Callithrix jacchus: one gene and its partners. The protein of the gene in region 3 interacts with the protein of the main gene of each other region in a pairwise test. Links are inferred from orthologs where the notes say so. Each region holds a gene or a part of one and is shown on either strand. Other genes may lie near its edges. The genes, in order: CALCOCO1, MEOX1, CWF19L2, NAB2, SF3B4, MAD1L1 and TRIM37.

The links.
Region 1: the proteins of CWF19L2 (region 3) and CALCOCO1 interact in binary tests that used the Homo sapiens proteins (3 or more experiments, as listed by UniProt). The two-hybrid records come from large-scale screens. The link is inferred for Callithrix jacchus from reciprocal best matches to the Homo sapiens genes CWF19L2 and CALCOCO1.
Region 2: the proteins of CWF19L2 (region 3) and MEOX1 interact in binary tests that used the Homo sapiens proteins (3 or more experiments, as listed by UniProt). The two-hybrid records come from large-scale screens. The link is inferred for Callithrix jacchus from reciprocal best matches to the Homo sapiens genes CWF19L2 and MEOX1.
Region 4: the proteins of CWF19L2 (region 3) and NAB2 interact in binary tests that used the Homo sapiens proteins (3 or more experiments, as listed by UniProt). The two-hybrid records come from large-scale screens. The link is inferred for Callithrix jacchus from reciprocal best matches to the Homo sapiens genes CWF19L2 and NAB2.
Region 5: the proteins of CWF19L2 (region 3) and SF3B4 interact in binary tests that used the Homo sapiens proteins (3 or more experiments, as listed by UniProt). The two-hybrid records come from large-scale screens. The link is inferred for Callithrix jacchus from reciprocal best matches to the Homo sapiens genes CWF19L2 and SF3B4.
Region 6: the proteins of CWF19L2 (region 3) and MAD1L1 interact in binary tests that used the Homo sapiens proteins (3 or more experiments, as listed by UniProt). The two-hybrid records come from large-scale screens. The link is inferred for Callithrix jacchus from reciprocal best matches to the Homo sapiens genes CWF19L2 and MAD1L1.
Region 7: the proteins of CWF19L2 (region 3) and TRIM37 interact in binary tests that used the Homo sapiens proteins (3 or more experiments, as listed by UniProt). The two-hybrid records come from large-scale screens. The link is inferred for Callithrix jacchus from reciprocal best matches to the Homo sapiens genes CWF19L2 and TRIM37.

The regions. Positions count from the first base shown.
Region 1 is NC_133510.1:65,836,063-65,840,228, reverse strand, and holds part of CALCOCO1 (calcium-binding and coiled-coil domain-containing protein 1), read right to left. Parts: intron 4,069-4,166; coding exon 3,910-4,068; intron 3,501-3,909; coding exon 3,352-3,500; intron 1,473-3,351; coding exon 1,382-1,472; intron 1-1,381. UniProt on the Homo sapiens protein: Functions as a coactivator for aryl hydrocarbon and nuclear receptors (NR). Recruited to promoters through its contact with the N-terminal basic helix-loop-helix-Per-Arnt-Sim (PAS) domain of transcription factors or coactivators, such as NCOA2.
Region 2 is NC_133506.1:70,519,333-70,522,881, forward strand, and holds part of MEOX1 (homeobox protein MOX-1), read right to left. Parts: intron 952-3,549; coding exon 779-951; intron 1-778. UniProt on the Homo sapiens protein: Mesodermal transcription factor that plays a key role in somitogenesis and is specifically required for sclerotome development. Required for maintenance of the sclerotome polarity and formation of the cranio-cervical joints.
Region 3 is NC_133511.1:7,239,344-7,243,509, forward strand, and holds part of CWF19L2 (CWF19-like protein 2), read right to left. Parts: intron 2,525-4,166; coding exon 2,409-2,524; intron 1-2,408.
Region 4 is NC_133510.1:62,619,185-62,623,723, forward strand, and holds the end of NAB2 (NGFI-A-binding protein 2), read right to left. Parts: coding exon 4,136-4,539; intron 3,686-4,135; coding exon 3,552-3,685; intron 3,209-3,551; coding exon 3,157-3,208; intron 3,063-3,156; coding exon 2,930-3,062; intron 2,717-2,929; coding exon 2,525-2,716; intron 1,535-2,524; coding exon 1,425-1,534; 3' UTR 668-1,424; downstream 1-667. UniProt on the Homo sapiens protein: Acts as a transcriptional repressor for zinc finger transcription factors EGR1 and EGR2. Isoform 2 lacks repression ability.
Region 5 is NC_133519.1:9,859,232-9,863,859, forward strand, and holds the start of SF3B4 (splicing factor 3B subunit 4), read right to left. Parts: upstream 3,298-4,628; 5' UTR 3,254-3,297; coding exon 3,220-3,253; intron 2,788-3,219; coding exon 2,659-2,787; intron 2,419-2,658; coding exon 1,876-2,418; intron 1,545-1,875; coding exon 1,338-1,544; intron 1-1,337. UniProt on the Homo sapiens protein: Component of the 17S U2 SnRNP complex of the spliceosome, a large ribonucleoprotein complex that removes introns from transcribed pre-mRNAs.
Region 6 is NC_133503.1:56,827,626-56,831,791, reverse strand, and holds part of MAD1L1 (mitotic spindle assembly checkpoint protein MAD1), read right to left. Parts: intron 3,429-4,166; coding exon 3,347-3,428; intron 1,586-3,346; coding exon 1,455-1,585; intron 1,302-1,454; coding exon 1,187-1,301; intron 234-1,186; exon of another isoform or gene 232-233; coding exon 170-231; exon of another isoform or gene 1-169. UniProt on the Homo sapiens protein: Component of the spindle-assembly checkpoint that prevents the onset of anaphase until all chromosomes are properly aligned at the metaphase plate.
Region 7 is NC_133506.1:93,606,973-93,610,506, forward strand, and holds part of TRIM37 (E3 ubiquitin-protein ligase TRIM37), read right to left. Parts: intron 1,399-3,534; coding exon 1,255-1,398; intron 1-1,254. UniProt on the Homo sapiens protein: E3 ubiquitin-protein ligase required to prevent centriole reduplication. Probably acts by ubiquitinating positive regulators of centriole reduplication.

The DNA of each region.
Region 1 (4,166 bases), on a different chromosome or scaffold from region 3:
AAGTAAATGTTATACATTCAAATTTATAAAGTTACAGTACTAAAATATTGGTTTTGTTTATTCAGTGAGATTCCACATAAGATGAAAAACTTTAGTGGTGGGAGGAAAAGAAATGGTTCTGCTAAAAAGGTTTGGAAGTACTAGGCTACTACATGCTCCACACCCCACCCCTTTTTTTTTCTGAGACAGAATCTCACAATCTCACTCTGTCACCCAGGCTGGAGTGCAGGGGTGTGATCATAGCCCATTGCAGCCTCGACCTCCTGGGCTTAAGCAATTCTTCCACCTCAGCTTCCTGAGTAGCTAGGACTACAGGTGCATGCCACCATGCCTAGCTATTTTAAAATTTTTTGTAGAGATGGGGTCTTACTATATTGCCCAGGCTGGTTTTGAACTCCTGGGCTTGAACAATCCTCCTACCTCAGCTTCCCGAAGTGCTACAATCATAGTCATGAACTACCACGTCTAGCCATGAACCTCCCCTGCTTTTTTTTTTTTTTTTTTTTGAGACAGAGTCTTTTACTCTGTCACCCAGGCTGGAGTGCAGTATTGTGATCTATGCTCACTGTAGCCTCTGCCTCCTGGTTCAAGCAATTCTCCTACCTCAGCCTCCCGAGTAGCTGGGATTACTGCCACCCACCACCATGACTGGCTAATTGTTGTTATTTTTAGTAGAGACGGGGTTTCACCATGTTGGCCAGGCTGGTCTTGAACTCCTGACCTAAGGTGATCCACCCGCCTTGGCTTCTCAAAGTACTGGGGTTACAGGCGTGAGTCACCGTGCCCGGCCTTCACACCCCTTTTAAAAAGACTTTTCTAACATCTCTAACAAAATCTGCTCTCACATACCTCCCTAGAGCCCTACAATACTTCATTAGATTTCTCTTGAGGCCAGGCACAGTGGCTCACACCTGTAACCTTAGCACATTGGGAGGCTGAGGTAGGCGGATCACTTGAGATCGGGAGTTTGAGACCAGCCTGCCCAACATGATGAAATCCTGTCTTTACTAAAAATACAAAAATTAATTGGGTGTGGTGGTGCACGCCTGTAATCCCAGCTGCTCGGGTAGCTGAGACATGAGAATCGCTGGAACCTGGGAGGCAGAGGTTGCAGTGAGCTGAGACAGTACCACTGCACACCAGCCTAGGAGACAAAGTGAGACTCTGTCTCCAAAAAAACAACAACAAAAGAAGATTTCTCTTGTGACACTTCTTATATTCCACTTTGACTAATTCTGATTTGGATATATGTCTTCTGTTCCCGAGTAGAGCACACACAATGTCTTCTTTACATTTTTATTCCCTTTGGTGCCCGGCTCTCAGAAAGGAATCAAACACTGACTGAACAATGGAGAAAGTAAACCGACTCTGAGCCCCTTACCTCGCTTTGCTCCTTGTCTGCTTGTACTTCTTTCAGTTGCCCAAGGAGCTTCTCTTGTTCCCGGGTCAGGGCCTTCACTGTGTCTCTAACCCTGGGATTGGTAGGATGACATGTCAGACAATCTGCTCCACCCAGAGAAGGAACGGACTCAGACCTCTATCTTGTGCCCTTTTACTGCTGCTCTAGGCCCAGATCTCCATTTCACTCTGGGATGCATAAATCCCCAAGCCAGCGGATCCAGTTCTAAGCCCCAAGATTCCAGGTTCTAGAGCACAATTTAGAAATAAATAGTTTTTCTTCTTTTTTGAAGTGATATTTTAAGGAATGTTCTGCTGATGGCTCCTACTGATTTCACTCAATCTAGTCTTTTCGAGACAAGGGCAGTCATTATTGATGATAAACTTTTGATCTAGACCAGAAGTTGGCAGACTCTTTCTGTAAAGGGCCTGATAGTAAAGATTGTATGCTCTGCAGGCCATGTGGTCTCTGAGGCATCTATTCCACTCTGTCATTGCAGTGCAGAAGCATCCACTGACAATATGCAAGTGAACGAGAGCGATGTTCCAACAAAACATGAACAAAGATTTCAAGTTTATACAATTTTCATGTCACAAAATATTCTTCTTTTAGTTTGTTCTTAACCATTAAAGGATGTAAAAACTATTCTTACCTGTGGGCTACACAACAGGTGGCAGGCTAAATATGGCTTGTGGGCCATAGTTGTTGACCCCTGGTCTAGGCAGTCCCTAATCTTTTCCAGATGCTCAATCTGACCCCTGCTTTTCTAACCTACGACTTAGAATGTAGACAGCTAATATCTCCCTAGGGCGAGACTAACATGTCCTGAAGAAGCCTCTCAGATGAACCCACTTATTACTTTGGGCCTCGGACGGAATGCCTTTCTTTTAAACAGTTTTAAAAAATATCACATCTACCAGTACTAAATGAAACATAATTATGTCATTTAATGAAATAAGGAACTAGATAGAGTGTTTAAACTCGTGAAAGTTTGAAGGATGGACACGGGAGGTGGTATCACTATTTATGCTACTTGGTAGAGGTACCAGTTTTCTGGAAGAAGAGAGAAATGTGTTCTGTGTGTCTCCAGAGGTCTCAGGACCTCCTGGTAAGTTACAGGAGGATGGAGTTTGGCTTAATACAAGAGATACAAAAATGACAGCTGTCAAATGTTGAAGGAGGCTGCCTCCTGAGGGTGACCTCTTACATACCCTCATACATACCTTACATTCCCAATGCCAAGAGTCTATGATTTTAATTTTTTCAGGGGAGAGATTCCATAATCTTCCTGGATCACCAGTTCTAATGTTTCTTAATAGTAACTTTCCTGTGGTCAAATCTGAAATCCATCCTCTCTCTCTCTTTTTTTTTTGAGATGGAGTTTCACGCTTGTTTTCCATGCTGGAGTGCAATGGTGCAATCTCAGCTCACCGCAACCTCCGCCTCCCAGGTTCAAGCGATTCTCCTGCTTCAGCCTCCTGAGTAGCTGGGATTACAGGCATGCACCACCATGCCCAGCTAATTTTGTATTTTTAGTAGAGACAGCATTTTTCCATGTTGGTCAGGCTGGTCTCAAACTCCTGACCTCAGGTGATCTGCCTGCCTCGGCCTCCCTAAGTGCTGGGATAACAGGCATCAGCCATCTCGCCCAGCCATATCCATCCTCTCTTATCTTACACTGACTTCTATCCCTTCTCTTCTTCCAAATCCTCCACTCCCAGCTCTGGCTCAGCTTTTGCTGCACAATAAGGGGTAACTATGATTATTTCTGAAGAGAAGGAGTAAAGACTAGTGTTTGGAAAGGTGGGAGAAAGCTCAGCAGAAAAGGGTATCCCCAGTAACTGGATTAGCCTGAGTGAGGGTGAGGGAAAGAGGAAGCATGTGGGGCAGACAGCAGGTCTGCCTGCCTGAGAGAGGAGGCTGGAGTGAGGGGGTCAGTGGACTCCCCTCACCTGTCCAGCTCCACCTCCTTCATCAGCACTTTCTCACTGATTGTCTGGATGTCGTCCTCCAGCTCCAGGATTCGTGCCACATGGTCTCCCTGTTGCCGGCTCAGGATGTCCCTTTCTTCTGTGATCTCCCCATGGGACCTCGAAATTCCCTGTAATTAAGTTTCCCCCAGAAGAAAAAGGAGGTTGGGATTCATCTCTCAAGTGGTGGAACAAAGACTTAGGAAGAGTACTCCAGGGTCTGACTGCTCCCACCCGGCTATCACATCATCATCCTTGAAAAAGAAACTGTAAGGGAACATTCCCTTACCTATCAATGTAGCTACCTCCACCTTAGCCCAGCATCCCTATGTTCAAAGAACTGAGTCTCATTACAAGTTTGGAACATGTCTTTTGTCATATCAAGTTTAATCCCACTTGTTACCCCTTAAATCTATTTCCTTGACGCCAGAACCATCATAAAAGCCAATTAACATCTCTCCTCCACCCTCTTCCCTGGGTTCAGATTTTAGACACTGGGTGAGCAGCCAGGCCCTGTCCCCTACCTGGCCCAGCTCCCACCTTGTACTGTTCTGTCAGCTCCGCGTGCTCCTGCCTGGCAGTTGCCAGAACCCTCTCGAGCTCCTGCACTCGGCTCCTCAGCTCTGTCACCTGTGCCTCCAGCTGCAGCTTCAGCTGCATCAGGTCATTCCGTTCTTGCTGGCTCTCATCGAGCTGGTTCTATAGATGGCAGGATGAGAAGGGGGTGTGCTGGTGGAGTACCCCTTCTAAGGGCCCATCCTCACTCAGAATGCATCAGATGCATTTTGGGGTTGGGG
Region 2 (3,549 bases), on a different chromosome or scaffold from region 3:
TTTTTGGTTTAGACAGCTTTGGTCAACACATTTTCTCATCTGAGCTTCAGTGTCACTTGCAGGATTATGATCTCATTTTGCAGATGGAGACCCAGAGGTCCCAGGACTAGGAGAAGTGATAGAGGCAGGATTTGAAGCTAAGTCTTCTGACTCAAAGTCCAATCTTCTGGCACAGCCCTCTATCAACGGAAATCTGCTCTCAAACATTACTGTTATTACTATGCTTCTGTATCAGAGAATGGGTGTGGGGGGGTGGGATGGCTGAGGGAAAGTCCAAAACAAAGAGCCAGGGAAGTTTCTCAGTGTGCCCAGGAACCAGTGGCATATCCAGATCACCTGGGGAACGTACTGGAAATACAGACTCTCAGGCCCACTCATTATGGCAAAATCGCTCTCCAGACCTCTGGAATCCACATTTTGAACAAGTGCCTTAGGGATTCCAACATATACTCAAGTTTGGGAATAGGCAGACCGGAGGTCCCAACCTAGGTGCATATGAGAATCACCTAGGGGGCCTTTGAAAAATTTTGAGGCCTGTATCCCATCCCAGACCAATTAAAATCATCCCCAGGTTGATTTTCATCTTTTATCATCTCCCACCCAGACATCGGCGCTACTAAATTCTCCCCAGGTGATTCTCAGGTATGGCCACAGTTGAGAACCACTGGACTGGATGGAGGAGGAAGAAAAAGGAGAAGGTCCAGGGAGGGGTGGCAGGAAAGGAGGGAAGGGAGGGAGATGAGAGAGCAGAGAAGAAGAGGGGCTGCCAGGGGCACACCTGGCGCTCAGAGAGGTCCAGGTTTACAGCGATCTCATATCTGCGGAGCCGAGTCAGGTAGTTATGGTGGGCAAACTCCGCCTCGAGCTCCCGCAGCTGCTCCTTGGTGAAGGCTGTCCTCTCCTTTCGGGCCTTGCTGCTGCCGTCCGGCTTCCCTCGGCTCTCCTGGTTGTCTAGGGAGAGAGGACCCCAAACAGGAAGACATGGGCTGAAGGAGACTCCATTCCCTTTCTTTTTTCCTCGAGCAACTAGGCAGCCTTTCCCAGTCTCCCTTATTTTTACAGGATGCTGAGAAAGCTACGCTGCCCTCTTTATTCCTTCTGGTGTCTTACCCATCTTAGAACTGGGAACTTTTTTTTTTGGCTTCCAATTTCAGGTACCTGCTCCCCCCCACACACCGCCCCCACCTTCAAACTTTCTTTTATTCTCAAAGCACAAGAAGCTACTCTTGGCTGTTTAATGATGTCTACTCCCCAGCCCACCCCCCAGCATGTCATAACTGGTGGCCGTAAGTTTGTGGGGTGAGATGAGATGCTCTAAAACAAAGCCTCAAAATGTGGTCCCAAGATCGGCAGCATCAGCCTTACCTGAGAACTTTTGCAGATGGAGACCCAGAGGTCCCAGGACTAGGAGAAGTGATAGAGGCAGGATTTGAGAACTTGATAGGACTGCAAATCCTAGTCTCACTCCAGACCTACTAAGTCAGAAGCTCTGGGGATGGCGCTCAGCGATCAATTTTAACAAACCCCTGTAATCCCAGCACTTTGGGAGGCCGAGGCGGGTGGATCATGAGGTCGAGAGATCGAGACCATCCTGGTCAACATGGTGAAACCCCGTCTCTACTAAAAATACAAAAAATTAGCTGGGCATGGTGGCGCATGCCTGTAATCCCAGCTACTCAGGAGGCTGAGGCAGGAGAATTGCCTGAAACCAGGAGGCGGAGGTTGCGGTGAGCCCGCGCCATTGCACTCCAGCCTGGGTAACAAGAGCGAAACTCCGTCTCAAAAAAAAAAAAAAAAAAAACCAAAAACAAACCCCTCAGATGCGTCTGGTGCATGATCAAGTCCACTGCTGTACGACCTCACCACTCAAACGAGGGCCTGGACACCAGCAGCATCAGCAGCACCAGGGAGCTGTTCAAACCCGAAGGATCTCAGGCCTGCCCCAGACCTGCCTACCCAATCAGAATCTGCCCCAGAGAGCCAAGTATGGAAAGTCATCTGGACCCCTCGGAAGGAGGCTCCTGTTAGAATCAGTGTGGCTCAGTCATAACTGCCAGCAGGGTCTGGGACACACCCTGCGCCAGGTGCTGTACCTGACAAATATTAGCCTCTTAATCCTCAATAGCCCAACCAAGTGGTTCTAGTATTAGCCTCACTTTATGGACCAGAAAATGAACATGGAGAAGTTAAACAGATTGTCCAAGTTTATTAAGCCAGGGGATGTGGGAGACAAGAATCAAATTCAGGCGGTTTGACTCACACATACTGTTCAAATGAAAAATATGTAGGGGCCGGGGGCGGTGGCTCACGCCTGTAATCTCAGCACTTTGGGTGGTCAAGAAGGGAGGATCACGAGGTCAGGAGTTCAAGACCATCCTGGCCAACATGGTGAAACCACGTCTCTAATAAAAATACAAAAAATTAGCCTGGCGTAGTGGCACACGCCTGTAATCCCTGCTACTTAGGAGGCTGAGGCAGGAGAATCGTTTGAACCCAGGAGGCGGAGGTTGCAGTGAGCCGAGATCAGGTCATTGCACTCCAGCCTGGGCGATACAGCAAGGCTAAAAAAAAAAAGGAAGGGCTTACAAGTGGTAAAGTCCTGAATAAATAAAAGGGCTGCATGGTTATCTCTGGAGCAGACGGTGGGAGGCAGCTCTACCTTCACTTTAATGACTGGAGATGGTCGGTGGAGAGGAGGCGGGCAGAGACCACACACCTAGCCATTAACTCTCAATGCATGCCACGTGGCCAGGGAATGGCTGCAGGAGCCATGAATAAGGGGCTCTAACATTTAAGTCTTTCGCTTCATTGTCCTCATTTTATAGACACAGAGACCGTGGTTCATAGTGAGGTGCTTTACTGAAACCTGCACCCCAACTTCCTGCTCCCTGAAAGACCCATCTCTGCCTTGCTGGATAGTGTTGGAAGGGGAGTCCTGTTTTCAAAGGCCGAGTCTAAGCTACCTGGAAGCCAGGGCTGGGGAATTTAGACCAGCTAGTCTAAGGCAGAGAAGCCGCCCATGCAGGCGCCTAAGCAGCCGCATTGGGAGTGGGTGGCGAGGCAGGAACCCCACCTTAACCGGGCGATCCGCTTTGGAGCGGAGCCTAGGTGGTTCTCTTCCCAACACCCCGCTCTACTGCTTTTTATGCAGTCCCCCTTCGTATTTCCAGCTTCCCCGTCCTCCGCCCCCGCTCCCCACTGCTTGGGCTGGGCGGCTTTCGAGCCGGAGGCGTGCGGTAAAGTGATTTGGGCGCCTGGCCGGGCCCACCTCGCGCTGCGCGTCCCTGGTCCCTGCCGCGGGATGGTAGGGGAGTGGGTGCCACCTTTCCAGGAACCAGAGAAGCGGGGGAGGGGCCTGATAGTCCCGGTGCCCTGGCCCGGGGGTCTGCGTCCGATCGGGTTGGCTGCCTTTGGGGCGCGCCCAGGGAACAGGGCAGGGGGCCGAGTTCCAGGCGCGGGCTGCCTGCCCGGCGGCCTCTGGCTCCAGGCCGGAGAAGGCAGGCCCAGACCCTCCGGAAGCGGGAGCGTGGGCTGGAGGGAAGGACGCGC
Region 3 (4,166 bases):
TGCAGAGAATAAGAGGGCATAGCACTAGCAATTCTGAGGGCAAAAAATTGCTCAACATGATTAAGTCACTCCATAAATGAATTAGGGCAAAGATCTCTGGAAAAAAAAAAAAAAACAGATGCTAAAAACCAAATGGGAAATGCAATGGTCAAGTCTAAACAAATGTCCTTGTAGTTGCAAAGGTTAAAACAATTTTCAAGGAAAAGATGCATCACACACAGAAACAGAAAGCAGAAAGGTGGTTACTGCAAGGAGAGGGGATGGGAAGACGGAGGTCAACGAGTACAAAGTTTCCATTTTATAGGATAACTAAGCCTTGAGACATTACGTCCAATAAGAGGACTACAGTTAATAATACCCCATTATATACTGAAAATTTGCTAAGAGAGTAGATTTTAGGTACTTTTATCAGACAAAAAAGGAGAATAACTATGTGAGATAAATAATACATTAATTTGCTTAACTGTAGTAATTATTTCCTTGTGCATATCAAAACATCCTGGAATACAACACAATAAATAAATAAATAAAAATTTTAAGAAACAAACAAAAAAGCACCTTTTACTCAACTTTGAATATAAAGATACTTAAACATGATATAATCTTAAACACAAGAAGTCATTACTTAAAGACAAGAATACCAGCTTCCAATCCTCTCATCAAAGTTCTAAAATTATAACTACTTCAAAAAGAAAAGAAAGTTTAAATATTTTAACAGAGAGGAAAAAAGCAAAATAATTATTTGCATATAACTACCTTCCCACATAACCCAAAATTTTCTAAATTAGAATAAAAAGTTTAAAAAATTGGCCAACCAACACCAATAGCAAGTCAGAAAACATTTTTAGATTTCAATTTATAATTGAAAAAAATAAAAATAACCTCAGTGGCATAGAGATAATAACTGCAGAGAAAACTCGTGAAATGCATAAATAAATACTTGGTGTTTTAGGATGGGATGACTGTATATTATAAAGATACTAGTTGTTCTTAATTTATCTATTCATTTAGTTAAATCGAAATTCCAAAAAGTTATAAATTTATAAAAAATTTTGGAAAAATGTTTATTTCTGGTGAGCTTAAACTAAATGTACTCAAAGTAAATATAGCTGTACGTTCTTACGACTGTGGTGGTGGCGAAGGCCTGCCAATGAGCATTAACTCATGAAAAAATCATATGAGGGGTTTTGATAGGTAAAACTATGTCAAACATCCATAGCAAATTATAAGCAAAGTAAAAAACAAACATGAAGCTGAGGGGAAGAAATCTGAACAGATTTATTAAAAAGTCTTAAATCATTATTCCAAAGGAAAAATGGGCAAATAATATCAATAGTCGATTCACTAGAAGATACAAATGGCCAAAATAAATATTAAAAAAATTCCAATTCACCAGTAAACAAATGTATAAAAACAAAAGCAAAACTTAAAATTTTTGCCAATCACAATAACATAAACTATAAGGAATAATCTTACTGTTGAAAATTATGTGATAAAAGATATTCTTAAGCATAATGTGTTCATTCTTTCCATAGGAAATCTGGCAACAGGTACATTGCTCTAAATGTCTATATCCTTTAAACAGGCAGTTTCATTTCCAGTAATTCACCAGTAAGAAAAATATGCAAAATGCATATTCCCTTGCAACAAGGGAAAAGGAAAGCATATAAATGTTCATCCACTGACCAACAGATGAAGGAAAATCCTATAAAACGTATATTAAAATATTAAGAGGTCATTAACATGTATATAATAACTGGCATCAAACTATGTGTAAATTAAGTTAAAAAAAAAAGCCAGGGCATATTCCATAAGCCTACTTTAGAAAGCAGGGGGAGAATACCTGGAAAAGTATATTCCAAAACTCTTACTACTTTCTAAACCTGCTTTCCTCTGGTAATTGAGAAAAAAAATAAGAACATCGATAATTATTGCAATAGAAAGATTGTCCAGAAAAAATGGGGAAACTGGCTCTAAAATATATACTGTTGCATGCTTTTATTGTTTTAAGAGTATATATACACTCTTCTAAAAAATTCTGTAAAACACCCAAACTCTAGAATATACCTAACTCTGGAATATACAAAAATTTCAACAGTGGTTACCTCCAGAAGTGTACCATGCAAACTTTCCAGCATTGTTTAAATTTTATCACAATGAAAAAATGTTACTTTTACACTAAACACACCCACACTTAAGTTTTATAAACTTAAGCTTTACATTCATTAAGCCAATAAAAAATAGATATCTGTTTACATAATAATGAAAAGCAGAAAATTACTTCAGTAGTATAAAGACATGAAATGTAATATTAATTCAATTCTTCATGGCACAAAACAAAGTTAAAGGCACTTAATTTTTCACATAATTCTGAAAATAAGACCCATATCCTTAATACAGATACTCACCCCATATCTTTCGGCTACAATGTCCTCAAAGTTTCTATTTTGTTTCTCAGCTTGTTCCTTCATTCTTAAATAAGACTTCCTTAGCCAGCTTAATCCACCATCTTCTACCACTGAAACTAAATTCCAACATTAAATATTCGTTATACTTTTAATGTGGTTATCATACAATTAAGATTTATTGCTTCTATAATGACTTCTAAAATACAAATATTTTTCTTTAAATATATAAGTGCATTCGGAATTCAACATATGTATTATATGTGACTGCCCATATATGTAAGCCACAGAGTTTTGCCGCTAGGAAGAAGGAAAAGATAAATAAATCTATCTTTAAGAAAATTCCAATCTAAGAGAATAAGAATAAAAGGACATAATTAATTAAAATAAAAATAAAGTGACCGCTAATATAAAAAGATACACAGGGTTCAAGAAAGTGAGAAAGTAAAGAGTTATTTCAAAGTGAGAAGTCAGGGAAAATTCCAGAAACCAGGCTCAAGAAAATGAATTGGGTTTCTATTTTAAAAAGGTAAGGGAGGACAGTCCAAGAAATAATTAAGGAATAACAAGGACACACACAGAAAGGAAAAGCTACCTCAGTGGCAGAACAAATAGGGAAGTTACGCAAGTGGATGTTAAAACAAATTATCTTACTTTACTCATAATTACCAACCATGAACATTTGGAGGCCTTTAACGAATTTTTTAAGCTGGCTTTCTTTTCTTCTTTACACATCACACTTTGGATATGTGTCAAGAAGAAATCAATTACTTAAATAATAATTCTGTTCCTTGGCCGGGCGCGGTGGCTCACACCTGTAATCCCAGCACTTTGGGAGGCTGAGGCAGGTGGATTACGAAGTCAAGAGATCAAGACCATCTTAGTCAACATGGTGAAACCCCGTCTCTACTAAAAATACAAAAAATTAGCTGGGCATGGTGGCGCGTGCCTGTAATCCCAGCTACTCAGGAAGCTGAGGCAGGAGAATTGCCTGAACCCAGGAGGCGGAGGTTGCAGTGAGCCGAGATCCCGCCACTGCACTCCAGCCTGGCTAACAAGAGGGAAACTCTCTCAAAAAAAAAAATAAAATTCTGTTCCTTATTTTCCTTGCCCCAGAACATGACTGCTTTAAGATCTCCCCAGCTCTATAACCAACAAAAATGCACACATATTGACCCCAAGACACATATAAGAATATTCATAGCAGAACACTACAATAATTCCAGCCTGGAAACAACCCAGGAAATGTATACCAATAGTACACAGGACACCTCCTACATTGTGATATATTCCTAAAATATACTATTTATTATTATACAGCAAAGATAATGAAAAACTACAACTATACACAACAACACGGATGAATCTCAAAATGTGGGCAAAAGGAACTTGAAACAAAGGAGGATATACTGGTATCTGGTACTAGAAAACAGAATAATGGTTACCCTTCCCGTGACCAGGTAGTGACTAGAAGGCCATAAAGGGGGCATCTGGGTTGCTAATGAGATTTTTCAAACTGTGTGCTGAGTAAACAAATGTTTTCATTTGATGAAAATGATTAGTCTGCTGCTGTACACTTATGGTTTGTGTATTTATGTACACACATAATTTACATGTAAGCCATGGTAGAAAGGTTTTTATATTCAATGTAGATATTGACTAAATATTTTTGAATATTTTTATATATATGTTACATTTCAATAAACAGTTTACTTAAAAAAAAAAAACAGATTTTTCAAGGCTCTAATTAATTCTATTCAA
Region 4 (4,539 bases), on a different chromosome or scaffold from region 3:
TAGGCAGAACATTTACACTAGGGATAGAGGGTATTGGGTCTTAGCCCTGGGGGAATGGGAAGCAGCTCAGGGGACCCTGGATGGGAGTACAGGAGGGGTCTGAACATGTGGTTACCAACACAGGTTTTGCCCTGATTAAAAAACAAATCTCCCAAAGCCCCAAATTCCTGTCAGCCAGATGGAGGCTTTTGATATGTGTATGAGACTATGCAGAAGTACAAGGGCCAAATTTCTTCCTGTATAGCTGTGTGAACATGTATGTACCTATGTTAATGTATAGTTGGCACATCAGTTGCATGAAAACATAGAGTATGTGTCTATCTGCTTTTGCCTGTGTGACAACACAAATCTGCCAGTGAGACATTGCACAGAAGACAGCACCAAGTGTGCTGCCCTCTCTGACATATGCTAACCCAAAAGTACTCTGAATTTGGAGTCTGACTGCCCAAGTAGGTCCAAGTGGCTGTAACATCTACATATGGCTCCACACCTCCAATGCCACCTGGGAGCCAGGGTGAGAGTCTGGGTCCAGGCCTGGCCACGTGGCCCTCCAGTGTATGAGGGACCCTGCCTGCTGCATCTTTTCTGTTGCTCTATCCACTGCCAGCTTCCCTTCACTCCCCTATCCCATGCCAACCTTTCTCCCTCTTGAGGCAGGGGTCATAGATCCTAAGCCATAAAATAAATTTTATTCCAAAATAACAAAATAAATAATCTACTGTACACAATCTGAAAAGAAAGACACTCTTAACTGCTCAGATAGGTGCTGTGCTCCAGCCCCCAGCTGGAGGAGACCCTGAGTCCAACCCAGGCCTCCCGAGGGGGCCAGTGAAGGGATCCCACACCCACCGCCCCCACATAGGGCAGGAGGGAAGAAATTGCTAAGGACTTGGGGGAGAGATGGGAATGGGAGGGCAAACTGCAGCACTTGTTAAATTAAAGAAACAAACCAGAAGCACAAAAATGGGGAAGGAGAGGGGAGAAGGAGCAGGTCCAGTGTTCCCAGGCCCCCAGTTCTGGGGGCAAATGTTGCCACCTTTAGCTGCTGGACCTTCCCAGGGAAGTCCCCCTCTCCCCCTTGTCCAAACTGAGTCCAACTGCTCACACCACTGGTGCAAACCTAAAGAGAATGGGAGTGTGTTGTATGAGGGAAGGGAGAACCCCAGATGCCCTGGAGGCAGAGTCCTTGCCCCCTCGCTCTGGGCAGGGGTGAGGGCACCACGCACCCTCCTTGTGTCCTCTCTCCAGGCCCCTGCTTGTTATTGCTTGAAGCCCCACAGTCTATGCCCATGGAGCAGGTGGGGAGGCAGGAGAAGGGCAGCAGAAGGATCCAGGGTTGTAACTAGATTCCGGGGATGGAGAGCGTGGGGGTCTGTGTGAGCCAGAAGTCTGGGGTCCTGTGTCTGAAAACACCAGTGCACCCCTCACTGCCGGCTGGCCTCAGCCTCCACTTTCACACTGCTCCTGCGACCCTCCACCAGCGCAGGATGGGGTCCTGGGGCAGGACAGCGGTCCAGCAGCCCTTCCTCGAACTCTGCAGGGAAAAGAGGGCAGTTAGGAGACTGCGGGCTGACTGGCTGCAGACAGAGGTGGTTGAGAACAGAAGCAGGGGCAAAGAAAGCTGTGAAGATGGGGTTGGTTTATTAATTACTGTCTCCTGCCCACTGCATGTGTACAGTGGGCTCCATTCCCGTGTGGGAGCCCCCTCCCCTCTGGCTGTGTGTAGCTCTGTCTCTGTCTGTGTCTCTCTCTTTCTCTGTCTCTCCCCGCCTCCTCCGTGGTGCTGGAATTTCTGGTTCTGTCAGGAGCTGCGGGGGTGGTTTGGCTCTGACCTCTCCCCTCCCCCCCTTCCCAAGCTCTGCCACCCCCACTCATCCCTGGCCCCCTCCCAGTCCCCACCCACCCTACCATGACCCCCCAAGTTTTTTTGGTAGCCAAATCAGGGGGAGCGCAGGAAACCAGCCTCCCAGCTCCTCCCTCAAGAAGAGCCCCCCTTCCAGTCCCCGCCCCCACTTTCCACCCACGCACAGTTTAAAAATACCAAGCCAGGGTTGGTGGCTTTGTCTGCTGCGTCACTCTCAGCCCAGCGGCTGCCCGGCCCTCTGCCGGCCCACTCCTTCTTCCCCCTTCCACACACAAAGCATCCCCGCTTTGGGCTCCTCTGCTTCCAAGCTGGGCAAACCCATCCCCGCAACTCCTAGCCTGCTCCTGGCTCCTGGGTTGGTGGAAGTGTCATTTGAGCTTCCCTTATTGATGTTCCTCCTTCCTGCTCCTTCATCCTCTTTTCTCTGTCCCCCACTCCCCAGTTCTCCTTTCACAGATCTCCACTAGGACCAGACTTTCCATGGTGGAAGCAGCCCAGCAGGGTCTGCCTCTCCACACCCCAAGGCCTGGCTGGCTGTAGCCCGGCCCTCCTACTGCCCTCTCTTACGACTATATACCTCTTCCTCCCACCTGGCCCCAGGACACCAGAATTGCTGTGTGGGGCCTGGGTGCTTGGGGACAGCACTGCTGGCTGCCTCACCTGCGAGAGGTGGCTTCGCAGGCACACAGGGGCTGAGGCGGCCCACGCGATCGTGGGAGACGAGGCGGGCGAGCCGCAGCCCCTCGTCCATCAGTGTCTGCTGCAGGATGTGGCGGCTCCATAGCCCATGGGCTGGCAATGCCAGAGGCAGGTCAGCAGGGGGCGGCGTCAGCCTTGGGCATGACCCCACAGCTGTGGGCATGGGCACTGGTCAGGTAAGGGGCTGCAGCCAATGGAACCCCCACCCTCAACCACACAGCCAGCCCACAGGCCCTTCTGCCCCCCCCTCCAGCCATGCCTCCCAGCCCTGTTCCAGACATTGCCTCCTGGCTCACTCCTCCCCCCCACCCCCATCCCCACCCCCTTACCCCCAATGAAGAGAAAAGTGTTCTGAGGCACACTCACCCTGCAAGTGTCCATCCAGACTCTCCCCAGACAGGCTGGCGCTGTCCTCCTCCAGGCTGGGGCGGTATGGGGGTGCATAGGACTCAGGGCCTGGGGGAGGCTGCTGGATTTCAGGGTGACTCTGTTCTCCAACCTGTGGATGCCCAAAATGGGGAAATGAAGACTTGGCAAGAGAGGGGATTGGAGAAGGCTGCCTGACGCCCCTATATGCAACCCAGAAAACACACCTCTTGTTTCAGCTTCTTCAGTGGAGGGCCTCCCAGTTCTTCAGGGTGGAGCCTGAAAATACGGATAAGAATAAAGAGGGTGAGGCTGCGGAGGGCCATTCGATCATTCGATGGGCAGAGTCCAGAACCTGGCTAGAGGCATGTGTTATTTAACACCTTTGCCAATAAGTTGGCAGAGAAGGAGTGTATAGCTCAGGTGCTATTGTTGTAGGGGGTTGGGGGACCCAACATGGATGGAAGGAGAGACCAGACCTGAGACAAGCTGACTTAGCCAAAAGCAGGACATGCAGGTGGGGCAGAAGCAGGCCTAGAGCTGCCTAAGCTGAAGGTTTAGATATGATCTAACTCCATGGTGGGATTCCAGTCCAGGAAGGACCTGGGGAAGGGGGTCTCACCTGGAGCCTTTCAAGGAGGACAAGTAGGTGCTCTCTCGGGCTACTTGGCGGGACAAAGAGAAGAGCTCCACTCTCCGCAATAAGAGCGTGTTGTCCCTCATGCAGAACTGGGCAGCAGCCTCGTTGATGGTAAGCTGTGGAGAGAGGGCAGCCAGGAGAGTCAGAATTGAAACTCCCCGGCTGCCTCACCAGACCTCCTCGCACCCCTTCACCATCGGACAAATGAGGCCCATCCATTGGATGCTTGCTTTGTTTCTGACACTATACAGGAGCTTTCTGAAGAAAGAAGACAGAGGTCAGCACCCACAGCTTCCTAGGAATGCCCGGGGCCTCCACTACTCCTGTGGGGTCCTGAGTGACACGGAGCTGACAACAGCTGGGTGCTGCCTCTATCTTTGCATCCTCCTCAGCTGAGGATGGGAGCATTGTGGCCCCTGGGTGGGGGCCTGTTGGGGAGGGGGTCAGGGCCTGGGGTCCTGGTCAGGGGGTAATGAAAGAGAACTGGAGATCTCAGAAGCTCGCAGAGGTAAGCAGCTAGAGGCCCACAAGTCAAGGGCAATCCTAGGAGGCCTGGGGGTTCTTACCTCGTGCAGGCTGAGCTGCTTGCCCTCCCGCCGTTTAGAGTCGAAACGGCCATAGATGATGCTGTATTTGCGGATCTCCTCTTCCTTCTGGCTGTCATTATCATCCATCTCAAAGATGTGCCCCACGCTCCGTGCCAGCTTCTTATTCAGCTTTAGCAGGGATGTGACCTCCCCAGCATCCCCCCTTGGGAAGCTCCGGAAGATCCTCTCCACACTTTCCACCACCATGCGTACCATCTCTGGCTCCAGTCGATCTGGACTACCCCCAGTCCCACCTGCTGCCAGCCCCCCAGCCCCAGTCCCCTCAGGGACTCCTCCCCCTGTAGGGGGGGAGAAGGGGGGCGAGCCAGCCTCCTCTTCTCCTCCTGCCCCAACGTCCGACTCTGGAGTGCTCCGGCCTGGCC
Region 5 (4,628 bases), on a different chromosome or scaffold from region 3:
CTGGGTAGCGAAACTCCGTCTCAAAAAAAAAAGAGTGAGGTAATACTCCCCACAGTCACAGCAAACATAGCTCTCAGATTCATGAATTAAGCACCTGGAAAAAACGAATACTAGAGGAAGAATAGGTTTGAGGGAGAGGGATAGAAAGGTGGCACTATCTATTAAGCAGCAGCATTAAGGATCTGGAATGTTAACAGCTATGAACTAGAGACACAGATCTAGGAGGCATAAAACTACACATATATGCAGAAAAGAAAAGCACAAAAATCTACGCCCAAGTCCACAGAAGTCTATTGTGGTAGCTAAGATTAAGGAGTCAGAGAAAGAGGGGGAGGATCTAAAAAAGAAGAAGCAAAGAGACAAGGTTGGTTTTTTTTTTTTGAGACGGAGTTTCACTTTTGTTGCCCAGTCTGGAATGCAATGGTGTGCTCTCAGCTCACTGCAACCTCTGCCTCCTGGGTTCAAGCGATTCTCCTGCCTCAGCCTCCCAAGTAGCTGAGCTTACAGGCATGTGCCACCGTATCTGGCTAATTTTTTGTATTTTTAGTAGAGACGGTGTTTCTCCATGTTGGTCAGGCTGGCCTTGAACTCCCAACCTCAGGTGATCTGCCCGCCTCAGCCTCCCAAAGTGCTGGGATTACAGGCATGAGCCACCGTGCCCAGCCAAGAATTTGTTTTCCTTTTTTCTTTCGAGACGGAGTTTTTGCTCTTCTTGACCAGGCTGGAGTGCAGTGGCACAATCTCAGTTCACTGCAACCTCCGCTGCCCAGGTTCAAGGGATTCTCCTGCCTCAGCCTCCCGAGTAGCTGGGATTACAGGAGCAAGTTACCATGCCCACCTAATCTTTTGTATTTTAGTACAGATGGGGTTTCATCATGTTGGCCAGACTGGTCTCAAACTGCTGACCTCAGGTGATCCACCCAGCTTAGCCTCCCAAAATGCAGGGATTACAGGCAGAAGCCACCATGCCCAGCCGAGACAGGAATTTCAAATAGGAAGACACGTTTCAAGTACATCAGAGGTCAAACCAGATAAGGAGAACTGTCCCTGAGATTTGGCAATTAGGTCACCACTTTGAGGTGGAGTTAGAGGAGAGAATGGAACTAAAAGGTAAAGAAACAAAAAACAGCAAGCATAGTCTGCTCATCAGAAAAACTTAAGAAATCATTTCAGACTGGTAGCTGTTAGAGTGTATTTTGTATGTTTTTTTATAAGAGAATGTCTGAAGAAAAGGAAAACTCTTAAACTGTTACTGTTGAACAAAGGGCAGCAGGGTGAGTGGTGACAGAGATGCTCTACCAAGCTCTTCCCTCCCTTTCCCAACAAAGCACACCTACCTGGATGGGGCATCCCACCTGGTGGGAATGGATGAGGATGTGAGTGTCCATGACCAGGATGTCCTGCCCCTGGGGTTCCTGCCGACGGGGGGCCGTGTCCTGCAGCCCCAGGCGGCATAGGTGGTGGGGGCATGGCTGGAGGTATCCCAGGTGGGAGGGCTCCAGGAGGCGGCACTGGGGGTGGGAAGGAGCCAGGAGGAGGCATGCCTGTAGAGGAAATGGAAGAAGGAAGAGTTAATGGTAGTGGGGAGAAAATGTCTTCAAAGAGCTGACCATATTTGGCCTCTCCAGCCACGGCGAGTTCTTTGCCCCTCCTCCCAGTGCTGGAAAATCAAAAGCAATGTTAGAATAGTCAAATAACTTCAGCCTCCCAAAGATACCCAACAACATTCTCCTCCACCACTTCCCATCACTCACTGACTTCCCATCACTCTTCCCATCACTCATTGACTCAATGTCCCTCTTTCAGACTCTTTTTTCTTCCCCTGCTGCACTCCTCCAACCTTAAGGACAAACATATTTTAACCAAAAGCCTTACCTGGTGGAGGAAGCCCAGACCCCAGTGATGATACCACAGGATTGGGGGCAGAGGGTGGAGGAGGCGCATCTGCAAACAGCTGATGAGGACGGTCAGCCTGGGAGAGTGGGTTCTGAGCTGCCAAAAGTCGTTCAGCTGCTGAGCCATGGCGCTCACCCTTGGAGTCCTTCTTGAAGGCGTAAGATACAGTGATAGGGCGGTTACAGAGGTACTGCCCATTCATGGCTTCAATTGCTGCATCCGAAGCATCAAATGAAGCAAAATTAATAAAGGCATAACCTTTGGAGTTGCCTGTGTCAGGGTCCCGCATAATCTTAGGGGTTTGTAAGATGACCCCAAAGGCGCTGAAAGTATCATAAAGCAACTTCTCATCAATCTCAGGGTCCAGGTTGCCAATGAAAATGTTGGCCCCTACATCCAGGTTTTTGTTGTGAGCTGATGCCTTGTTCACCCGTATTGGCTTCCCATAGAGTTTGATCATGTTCATGATCTTAATGGCATAGTCTGCATCTTCCTCACTCAAGAATTCCACAAAGCCATAGCCTGCAGAAGTGGAGAGGAGGTTAACAACCTAAGTGAAGAGATTCAAAATGGGGTAAAACTCACCTCCCCTCTGATCACAAAGAATGAGAAACAACCTCACTTTATTTGAGAATGGCTCCAGAAATAAACTGAACTGAGGCTTAAAACAAAGAAATCTTTAGGTTGCTCATCTCATTCCAAAACAGTTGTGAATACTGCTGGGACCCTCCAGGAGCAATTTGCCCCTTGCCATGTACTCACCTTGGTGCTGGCCAGTGACTCTATCCTTTGGCATGTGGGTGTTGACTACCGGTCCAGCCTGGAGAAACAGTTCCCACAGCAGCGGTTCACTAACCTTCTCATCCAGGCCCCCGACGTACACAGTGGCATCTGAAGGGAGGGAGCAGAAAGTCAGGGCAACGGTGAGAGTATAACAGGAAAGGAGGTGATGGAAACATGAAGATGGAACCCAACCAGAGGAACTGGGGACCGGGGCAGGGTAGGAGCAAAAAAAAAAAAAAAAATACGTTTAACCCTTAAACCTCTTTCTTCCCAAGACTTAGGAAATCCTCTCAAGGCTAATTTAGTATTCTGGGTGGATTTTTTTGAGTGGGAAGGCAGCAGGGGATTGGACATAAAAGTATCACACCAACAGGCCTAAGCCAGCACCCAGCCACCCCGCCCCCAGCAGGCATGGGGCCGGTTTCGCGCCCTCTGGGGAACCGAGGAGTTCAGCTTCCCACCCCTGCAGAGGCACTGCTGACCCTAGTCGGGACCTCCTCGCCATGCTGAGCGCATTCCAGATTCTCCCCCTCCAGTTACCCTGGTTCCGCTCGGAGATCGGCCCGGCAGCCATGGCGAAGGAGCTCCCGCCGTCTCCCAGCAGCGGTTCCGCTCTCTGACCTCAGCCCGACTTCCACTTCCGGGGCGAAGGCTGACGTATGGTGGGCGGGGCCGCAGAAGAGGAAGTGCCTGGGAGCAGCCGCAGCCATCTTAGGAGCCTCCTTGTTTTAACCCGGCTCGACCGGTATAGTCTTCGCCTCCCGCGCAGTTGTTCTGTTGCTAGTGGTCTAAGCGAGGAGGGCGAAATGGAAACGCTCAGACCCTCTTAATGCTAAGCTTGAAAAAATCACACTGCTCCCAAAAATGTAAATTCGAACTCTGAAAGGACAAGGCTTTACTTTTGCTATATTTTGTGGCCACTGATTCTTCTTTTGTTTCCCAGAGAAGAACGTGCTGAAGAGTCCCCGCAGCCGGAGGACTCGGCTGCTTTCAGGCGCAGAGGGAAGCTTCCATCTCGCCTGCAGCCTTCTTGCAGATTTGGCCTCACAGCCCTGATTTGGCCTCACAGCCCTGATTTGGGCTGGAGGTATTGGTTTTCCTTCAGGGGAGGAGACTGCGGAATGTCTGAGCTGGAGTGACGTCTGCGCTCACTTCGTCGTAATAACATGGGGAGGGGAAGGGTGGTGGGAATCAGGCTGCTCCGAGGGTGTTTGACCACAGCTGATGGGTGGATGGGCTCAGAGACTTCAGTATGGATTTCTAGAACACTCTGGCCCCAGAGACATTTTTTTTTTTTTTTTTTTTTTGAGACAGTCTCGCTCCATCGCCAGGCTGGAGTGCAGTGGCACGATCTCAGCTCGCTGCAACCTCCGCCTCCTGGGTTCAAGCAATTCTCCTGCCTCAGCCTCCCGAGTAGCTGGGACTACAGGCGCGTGCCACCACACCCAGCTAATTTTTGTATTTTTAGTAGAGACAGGGTTTCATCATGTTGGCCAGGATAGTCTCGAGCTCTTGATCTCACGATCCCCCTGCCTCGGCCTCCCAAAGTGCTGGGATTACAGGCGTGAGCCACCGCGCCCGGTAGCGACAACATCCTGACATGCTCGTGCCCCATCTAACCCTTTCCCCAAACTGCACTTTAATTCTGCAGCGCCTCACTAGACCCAGTTCCTCTGTTTCCTTATCAATAATATGGTGGATGCCTTCCTCTCTTGGGTCACACCCACCTTTTACCCACCACTCTTTGCTACCTAGGAGAATCCTTTATTCAAACACAAGAAACAATGCCAACAATGTGTATAAATACCATGCTTTAATGAACCCCTTAAATAGCAATTCCACTACAAAAATACACAGAGGAGACAGGGTGTTTCCTGTATCCACCTCATTCTCAGAAAACTGTAAGGAAAGAAACAGAAGTTGGAATTAAAGCAGCAGCAAGGCGGGGC
Region 6 (4,166 bases), on a different chromosome or scaffold from region 3:
TTCCACTGCCCCACCAGCTGAGAAAGGCCTCATTAAACCTGAGCAGCCCAGGACAAAAGGCCCCCACCAGGCTTTTAGAGACAGTGCCCGTGAGCATGAGGCAGACTCTGCTCTCCCCCAGTGACCCTTCAGAGAAGGTGGGACCCCAGAGGCACCTGGCCCTCCCTACCTGACATTCAAGCCCATGGTCTGCTCCAGTCTCTCCCAGCTTTGCAGCCTGGCCAGCAGCTTCTGAAAAGACAACAAAAGCACGGACCCTGTCATCACCGCCACAGGATTATCACATAAGACTGACAATAATGATCACGGCGCTAAGTCCCTGACCTCTCAGGATAGCCTACCCTTATCTCTGAGCTGGGCACTAAATGCTCCAAGTCTGCTTGGAAGTGGCTGGGTTATTATTCCCCAACTGCAGAAGTCACACTGTACGCTTCATGCGTCACTCCTTCCCAGCCCCATGAATTCAAGTATGAATCCCAGCAAGCAGCCTGGGCCCAGTGGTTCATGCCTGTAATCCCAGCACTTTGAGAGGCTGCAGGTGGATCAAGAGGTCAAGAGACTGAGACCATCCTGGCCAACATGGTGAAACCCTGTCTCTACTAAAAACACAAAAATTAGCTGGGCGTGGTGGCACATGCCTGTAGTCCCAGCTACTTAGGAGGCTGAGGCAGGAGAATCGCTTGAACCAGGGAGGCAGAGGTTGCAGTGAGCCAAGATCATGCCACTGTACTCCAGCCTGGCAACAGAGCAAGACTCTGTCTCAAAAAAAAAAGGCCTACAAATGGAATATCCTATAGTATTCTAGTTCAGAAATCCAAAATGGGTCTCCCTAGGCTGGAATCCTGGTGTTGGCAGGGCTGAGTTCCTTCTGCAGGTTCCAGGGGAGAGTCCACTTCTCTGCTCTTTCCAGCTTCCAGAGGCACCCCTGTTCCTTGGCTTGTGGCCCCTCCTCCATTTCCACACCGAGCAGGAGCTGCCAAGTCCCTCTGATGTCACTCTGAGCCCCCAGGATGGCCTAGGAGCCCCTCCACACTGTGGGCCAGCTGACCTGTGACCTCAATCACCCAGCCAGGGAAGGTGCCGTGTTCACAGGCTCTGGGGATAAGGCATGGACCTCTCTGGGGACCATGATTCTGCCTCCCACCCTATAACACAAGGGTACGACCCACTCTGCACAAACCCTCACCTCGTTATCCAGCTCCAAGCCAACCAGTGTCTCCTGCATCTTCTCCTGGCGTCCCAGCTTCCTCTGTAGCCCTTCCACCTCCTCCTGGAGCAGCCCATTGGTCTCTCTCATCTCCCTGGCAGTGCCACAAAGAGTTGCTCAAATAGCCACACACCCTGGGGATGAAGCCAAGAGCCCAGGAGCCCTGCCCCTACAGGGTCTGCAACACAGGCTCCTGCACACAAACCCAGACTCACTACAGGCTACTCCATCCCCCATGCCCCCTCACCGCAGGCGTGCACTCTCCTCCCGCAGCTGTTTCAGCTCCCGTTCCAGCCTAGGGAGTCGCACCAGCTCAGACTTCATGTTCTTCACAATAGCAGCATCCTGCTCTTGTAGGGACAGCTTCTGCTCCAGATCCTGATGGAGGCCAGGGACAGAGAAGAAGGGAAAAATGAACTATGAAGAGACCTGGAGAAAATCACACGCACACGACTAAGAGAAAGAAGCTGGTCTGCAATGGCTACAGGAGCTAGGATCCAACCACGGACATTCTGGGAAAGGGGGAACTATAGAGACAGCAAAAGTTTGGGAATTGTCAGCGACTCAAAAGGAGAGAGTCAGGGATTAACTGGGGGAGCACAAAGGATTTTTAGGCAGTAAAACCCTTCTGTGTGACACTCTAACAGTGAATATAGGACATTTTACATTTGCCCAAACCATACACTGTCCCACTCTAGGAGAGACACTTGAGTGACCTGTGGACTCTCCCTGACACTGATGCATCAAGACAGGTTCATAACCGTCATATGTGCTCCACTCTACCAGGAAAGGCGGTGTGTGCTTTTTTTTGGGGGGGGGGTCGGGGAACAGGGGTGCACAGGAGCTCTACCTTCTGCTCATTTTGCTGTGAACCTAAATCTGCTATAGAAAAAAGCATCCCCTAAAGAGTAAAGTCACTGAGGCCAGGAAGTTCCTCCACTAAACTGCCCCAGGTCCTCAGCAGCCTCCATGGCTCAGGACTCTCCTCTGGGAGGCCTTCCCGGGCTGCACCAGGGCCCTCAAAGCTGCTTCCAATACTGAGCCTCGGCATTCAGTCCAGGGCAGCTCTTCCCAACACCGTCCTCCCAGCCCACTGCACACTGGGAGCTGGCACTCACCACACACCGCTGGGCTACTGTGCACACCACTGTCCTGCCCTCAGGGAGCTATCTAGAAGCAAAAGTCTATCTCAAGTCTGGCCCAAGATGACACTCCATGGTGAAACATCCCATCCTCCTGTGTCAAGCCCACTTCTGCCCCTCTAGTAGCATGTGTGTAACGGCTTACTCTTTCCAATAGTGAGGACAGGCTTTTCCCTATGGTACCCAGTCTCCTTGGGACACAGACAGCTGACATCTGTGAGCAGCAAGTCAGTGAACAGGCAGAGGATGAAACCACAACCAAACCAGATGGTCATTCAACAAACACTAACAGAGTCCATCTCTGTGCGATGTACCAAGTCAAGTGGCAGACACCAGGCCTCACCAGCCAGCAAATCCTGACAGGTGGGCCGAGGGATGCAGACAGGAGGATGAGGGGCCAGGGAACACCACCAGGAGGTGACATGGCAGAGGCTAGGTTGGGGGTGACAGTCAGCTCTGCAGCCAGGAAGAGCTGGTTTGAGGCATGGAGGTGAGGGTACATGGGGGGCCAATAGGGCACAGCTGGAGCACAAGGTCTGAAAGCTGCTCTCCAGGCAACAGGAGGTAGGAGAGGGATCCGGAGTCGGCGTCTCCCTGGCATGCCCTCCACAGGGAAAGGGCACAGCATGAGCTTGAGTAGGTCACCCCGACTGAGACCCAGCTCCAGCTGTGCAACTGTGGGCAGATTTCTTAGCCCCTCTATGCCTGTATCACCTTCTCACACTCTTCAGCACTTGACATCATCATACATTCGGACACTCTCTTCGTGTCTCTGGTCAGTCTCCATCCTCTAGAATGCACACTCCCTGAGGTCAGCAGCATCTGCCCCATTCACCATGGCATCCCTGGTGCCCAGCAAAATGCCCACCACACAGGGCAGCAGCAAATCTCACAGGAGGCCCACAGAGCTCGGCACTGGTGCAGAAAGGCCGACAAGGGCAAGAGAGCCAAGGCCACCACAGGGATGTCCACAAGGCACCTGACACAAGCAACTCACCTTAATCTGCTGCTCTTGATCTGCTCTCGTTTCTTGGCTGGCCTGGAGTTCCTGGATTTTCTGACTGGCTTCCTGCCATTTTCTATTAAAAAAAAATACATCACATACAGAAACAGGCATGTGGCAAGGCCAACAATTCTCTTCAGCCTGAGATCCGCCCCAGCACAGACCCACACACTCTCACTCCCACCCCAAGGTTCAGGACCCCCACCTGCACACACCCCTCCACACACACTCCCACTGCATGGGTACCCTAAGGTCCTGGGTCCCAGCCCCTGCTGGCTGGCTCTGAGGCCTCAGTCTGCTCATCCGCACAGAGTGCATAGTGAGCCCAAGCCACCTGCAAGGTCCTCGACAGCAGCGGCACCCACACTTTCACCTGCCGGCCGCAACCCGCAGCCCTGGTGCAGTTGTGGCAGAGCCCCGCCCAGAAATGACCTCTCCTCTCTACTACGAAACTAGAACTCTCCTAAAACCACATCTGCCGAGGGAAGGGTCAAACCCTTTAGGAGATGCCCATGGTGCTGGGCATCTCCTAAATGCTGGGTAGGAGAAGCCCATGGTGCTGGGCATCTCCTAAATGCTGGGTAGGAGATGCCCCCGGTGCTGGGCATCTTAGGAGGTGCTGACTGCACCTCCACACAAGGCTCTCATGTCTGTACCTTGGCTGAGCCCAGCCCTGTACCTGGACATCCCTTCCCAGCCACATCCCCTGCACCTCCAAGGCACATGGTGCTACCCTTTAAATCTAGCCCTGAATAGGGCACAGTGGCTCACACCTGTAATCCCAGCACTCTAGGAGGATGAGGCAGGAGAATCA
Region 7 (3,534 bases), on a different chromosome or scaffold from region 3:
TAACAGTAGGTTTCTCTCGTTGAATTTTTTCCAAATAACTTTTTTGGGGATAGGAGATAATAAAAATTGATTTCATAATTTTCATGTATTTCTAAGAAATCAGAAAAGGTTTTTTTTTTTGAGACGGAGTTTCGCTCTTGTTACCCAGGCTGGAGTGCAATGGCGCAATCTCGGCTCACCGCAACCTCTGCCTCCTGGGTTCAGGCAATTCTCCTGCCTCAGCCTCCTGAGTAGCTGGGATTACAGGCATGCACCACCATGCCCAGCTAATTTTTTAAAAATATTTTTAGTAGAGATGGGGTTTCACCATGTTGACCAGGATGGTCTTGATCTTTTGACCTCCTGATCCACCTGCCTCGGCCTCCCAAAGTGCTGGGATTACATGCTTGAGTCACCGTGCCCGGCCCAGAAAAGGTTATTTTTAAAGTTATCTTAGAGTACGCTAGAAAAATCTCTGAAAAAAACCCCAAATATCTGAAGTCTCCCTAGGCATTGCCAATCATTTGCTATGAAAGGTAGAGAGTAAATATTTAGGCATTGTAGGCCACAAATGGATTCTGTTGAAAATTCTTCTTTGGGCTGGGCACGGTAGCTCATGCCTGTAATGCCAATACTTTGGGAGGCTGAGGCGGGTGGATCACAAGGTCAGGAGTTCAAAACCAGCCTAGCCAACATGGTGAAACCCCATCTCTACTAAATATACAAAGAAAAAATTAGTCGGGTATAGTGGTGTGTGCCAGCAATCCCAACTACTCATGAGGTGGAGGCAGGAGAATGGCTTGATCCCAGGAGGTGGAGGTTGCAGTGAGCCAAGATCGTGCCACGCCACCCCAGCCTGGGTATCAGAGCAAGACTCTGTCTTGAGGGGGAAAGGGGGAGAAAAAAAAGAAAATTCTTCTTGGTTTCTTTTGCTTGTTTTTTAAGACTCTTTACCTCTTTACAAAGTAGAAACCATTCCCAGGTCATGGACTATACAAAAGCAGGCTGTGGGCCCCTTCTCTACCCAGTAAGTAGTACTCATTAGGTGCAACCAAGTCAAATATTACCAACTATGTTTTTTCAGTACTCACCATAATAGTTTAACAAAGAATGTTGTCTCACAAATGACAATAATTAAAAAAAAAAAGAAGTAGAAGCAAAAGAAGCAAAAGCAGCAGAGCAGAAGTAGTAGAAGTAGCAGCAGCAGAAGAAGAAGAAAGAGAAGCAGCAACGGCGGTTTTATTAATCTGTGTAAAATGACATCATGTGTTGCACCTTCATCCGGGGGTTGTGTCATGACCAAGAAAGAGTCGTGAAACCCGCCCACACTGGTGTGCTCTTCCTGCTCCTCATTCTCAGTGTCACATTCAATGTCACTGTCGCTACTCATTCCTGGCAGGAAGGAAGGAGAACATGTTTCTGAAAAGAAACCACTATTAGTGAAAGGAAACAAATCTCCTTATCTACTAACCTGAGATTCCTAACTGAATTTTACATGGAATGCCAATAATTCAGTAAACTAAACAAAGACAAAAGTAACCACAAAAATGGAGATTCTCTTTAGCTATTTATAGCAGTGGTTTTATTTTTGTTCTCTAAGTTCAAAATTGCCCTTTCCACAGTACCTGAAAGTTACAATTTGAAACCAGTATTAATTTCATTATATTGAAAATTTCTTTTTTCTAAATCAAACACTGCTTTTTTTCAGTCACAAGAGATAACAGGAATTCTTTTAATCCTGACTCATTGTAGACATAATTATAGTCCCTAGCCTAAAACATATATAAATATAAACATATTATACAAATACACGTGGTATATGAATATTAGAAATTCTGGCAATTCTAATAATACATTAGTTTGTATTCTAATTGGGCATTTACTTTTTTTGTGTATGCCATTTGACTTTTATTTATTTTTATTTTTTGAGAGACAGGGTCTCTGTCAACCTAGGCTGGGTTGTAGTGGCCTGAAAGCTCACTGCAGCCTCAACCTCCTGAGCTCAAGCGATACTCCTGCCTTAGCCTCCCAAGTAGATAGGACCACAGGTACATGAAACCATGTCTTGCTAATTTAAAAGTTTTTTTGCAGGGACAGGGTCTTGCTATAATATGTTGCCCAGGCTGGTCTCGAACTCCTGGGCTTGAGAAGAGATCCTCTCGCTTTAACCTCCAGAAAGATAAGAAACTTTCATTAGTGGGTCAGGGGCCACAGTTGCCCTGGAGTGCTACATGTGAGGATTTAAAAAAATTTTTTTTGAGATGGAGTCTTACTCTGTCTCCCAGACCGGAGTGCAATGGCACAATCTCGGCTCACTGCAACCTCCACCTTCTGGGTTCAAGTGATTCTCCTGCCTCAGCCTCCTGGGCAGCTGGGATTACAGGGGCCTGCCACTGCGCCCAGCTAATTTTTGTATTTTTTAGTAGAGATGGGGTTTCACCATGTTAGCCAGACTAGTCTCTACCTCCTGACCTCAGGTGATCTCCTCGCCTAGGCCTCCCAAAGTGCTGGGATTACAGGTGTGAGCCACCATGCCTGGCCTATGTGAGGATTTTTCTTTTTTATCTATCTATCTATCTATCTATCTGTTTTAGAGATGGGGTCTCACTATATTGCCCAGGCTGGAGTGCAGTGGCTATTCACAGACGCAATCCCACTACTGATCAGCACGGGAGTTTTGATCTGCTCTGTTTCTGACCTGCCTGGTTCACCCCTCCTTAGGCAACCTGGTGGTCCCCTGCTCCTGGGACATCGCAATATTGATGCCAAACTTAGTGTGGACACCCGACTGGCATAGTGCACTACAGCCCAAAACTCCTGAACTCAAGTGATCCTCCAGTCTCAGCCTCCCAAGCAGCTGGGACTATAGGCACGTGCCACTGTGCCTGGACACAAGAGGATTTTTAACACTGCTTTGGGATAGAAAAATGGACCCATCACAGAAAGGAAATTGAAAGTGAGACTAAAACCCCACCCCTGCATAATGTTAAAATTTTTGCTTGTTTTTTGAGACAGGGTTTCACTCTGTTACCCAGGCTGGGGTACAGTGGTATAATCATGGCTCACTGCAGCCTTGACCTCCCAGCGCTCAGGTGATCCTCCCACCTCAGCCTCCCAACAGGCGCACACCACCACACCTGGCTAACTTTTGTATTTTTTTGGTAGAGATGGGATTTCACCATGTTGCCCAGACTGGTCTTCAACTCCTGAGCTAAAGCAATCCACTTGCTTTGGCCTCCTAAAGTGGTGGCATTATAGTCATAAGCCATCATGCCTGGCCACTGCTAAAGTTCTTACTGAAAGAATAGGCTAGAAAAAATTCTCTGCCTACTGGCATAGGAAAATAGAAAGGAACTTTGTTACTACTGGTCTCTGAAGAGGGAGAAAAAAGTCTCACCTCTAAATTCAAAGTAAGATTTATGTGCCTAATTTAGGTTTGGGATTTAAAGTTGAGGTTCAAATTTCAAGAAATTAACTTAAAAATTGTTCAGGAGCTAGTGTTATCTGAATAAAGCAAAAGTAAAATCCTCTCTGGAAGGAAGGTTCTAGGTACAA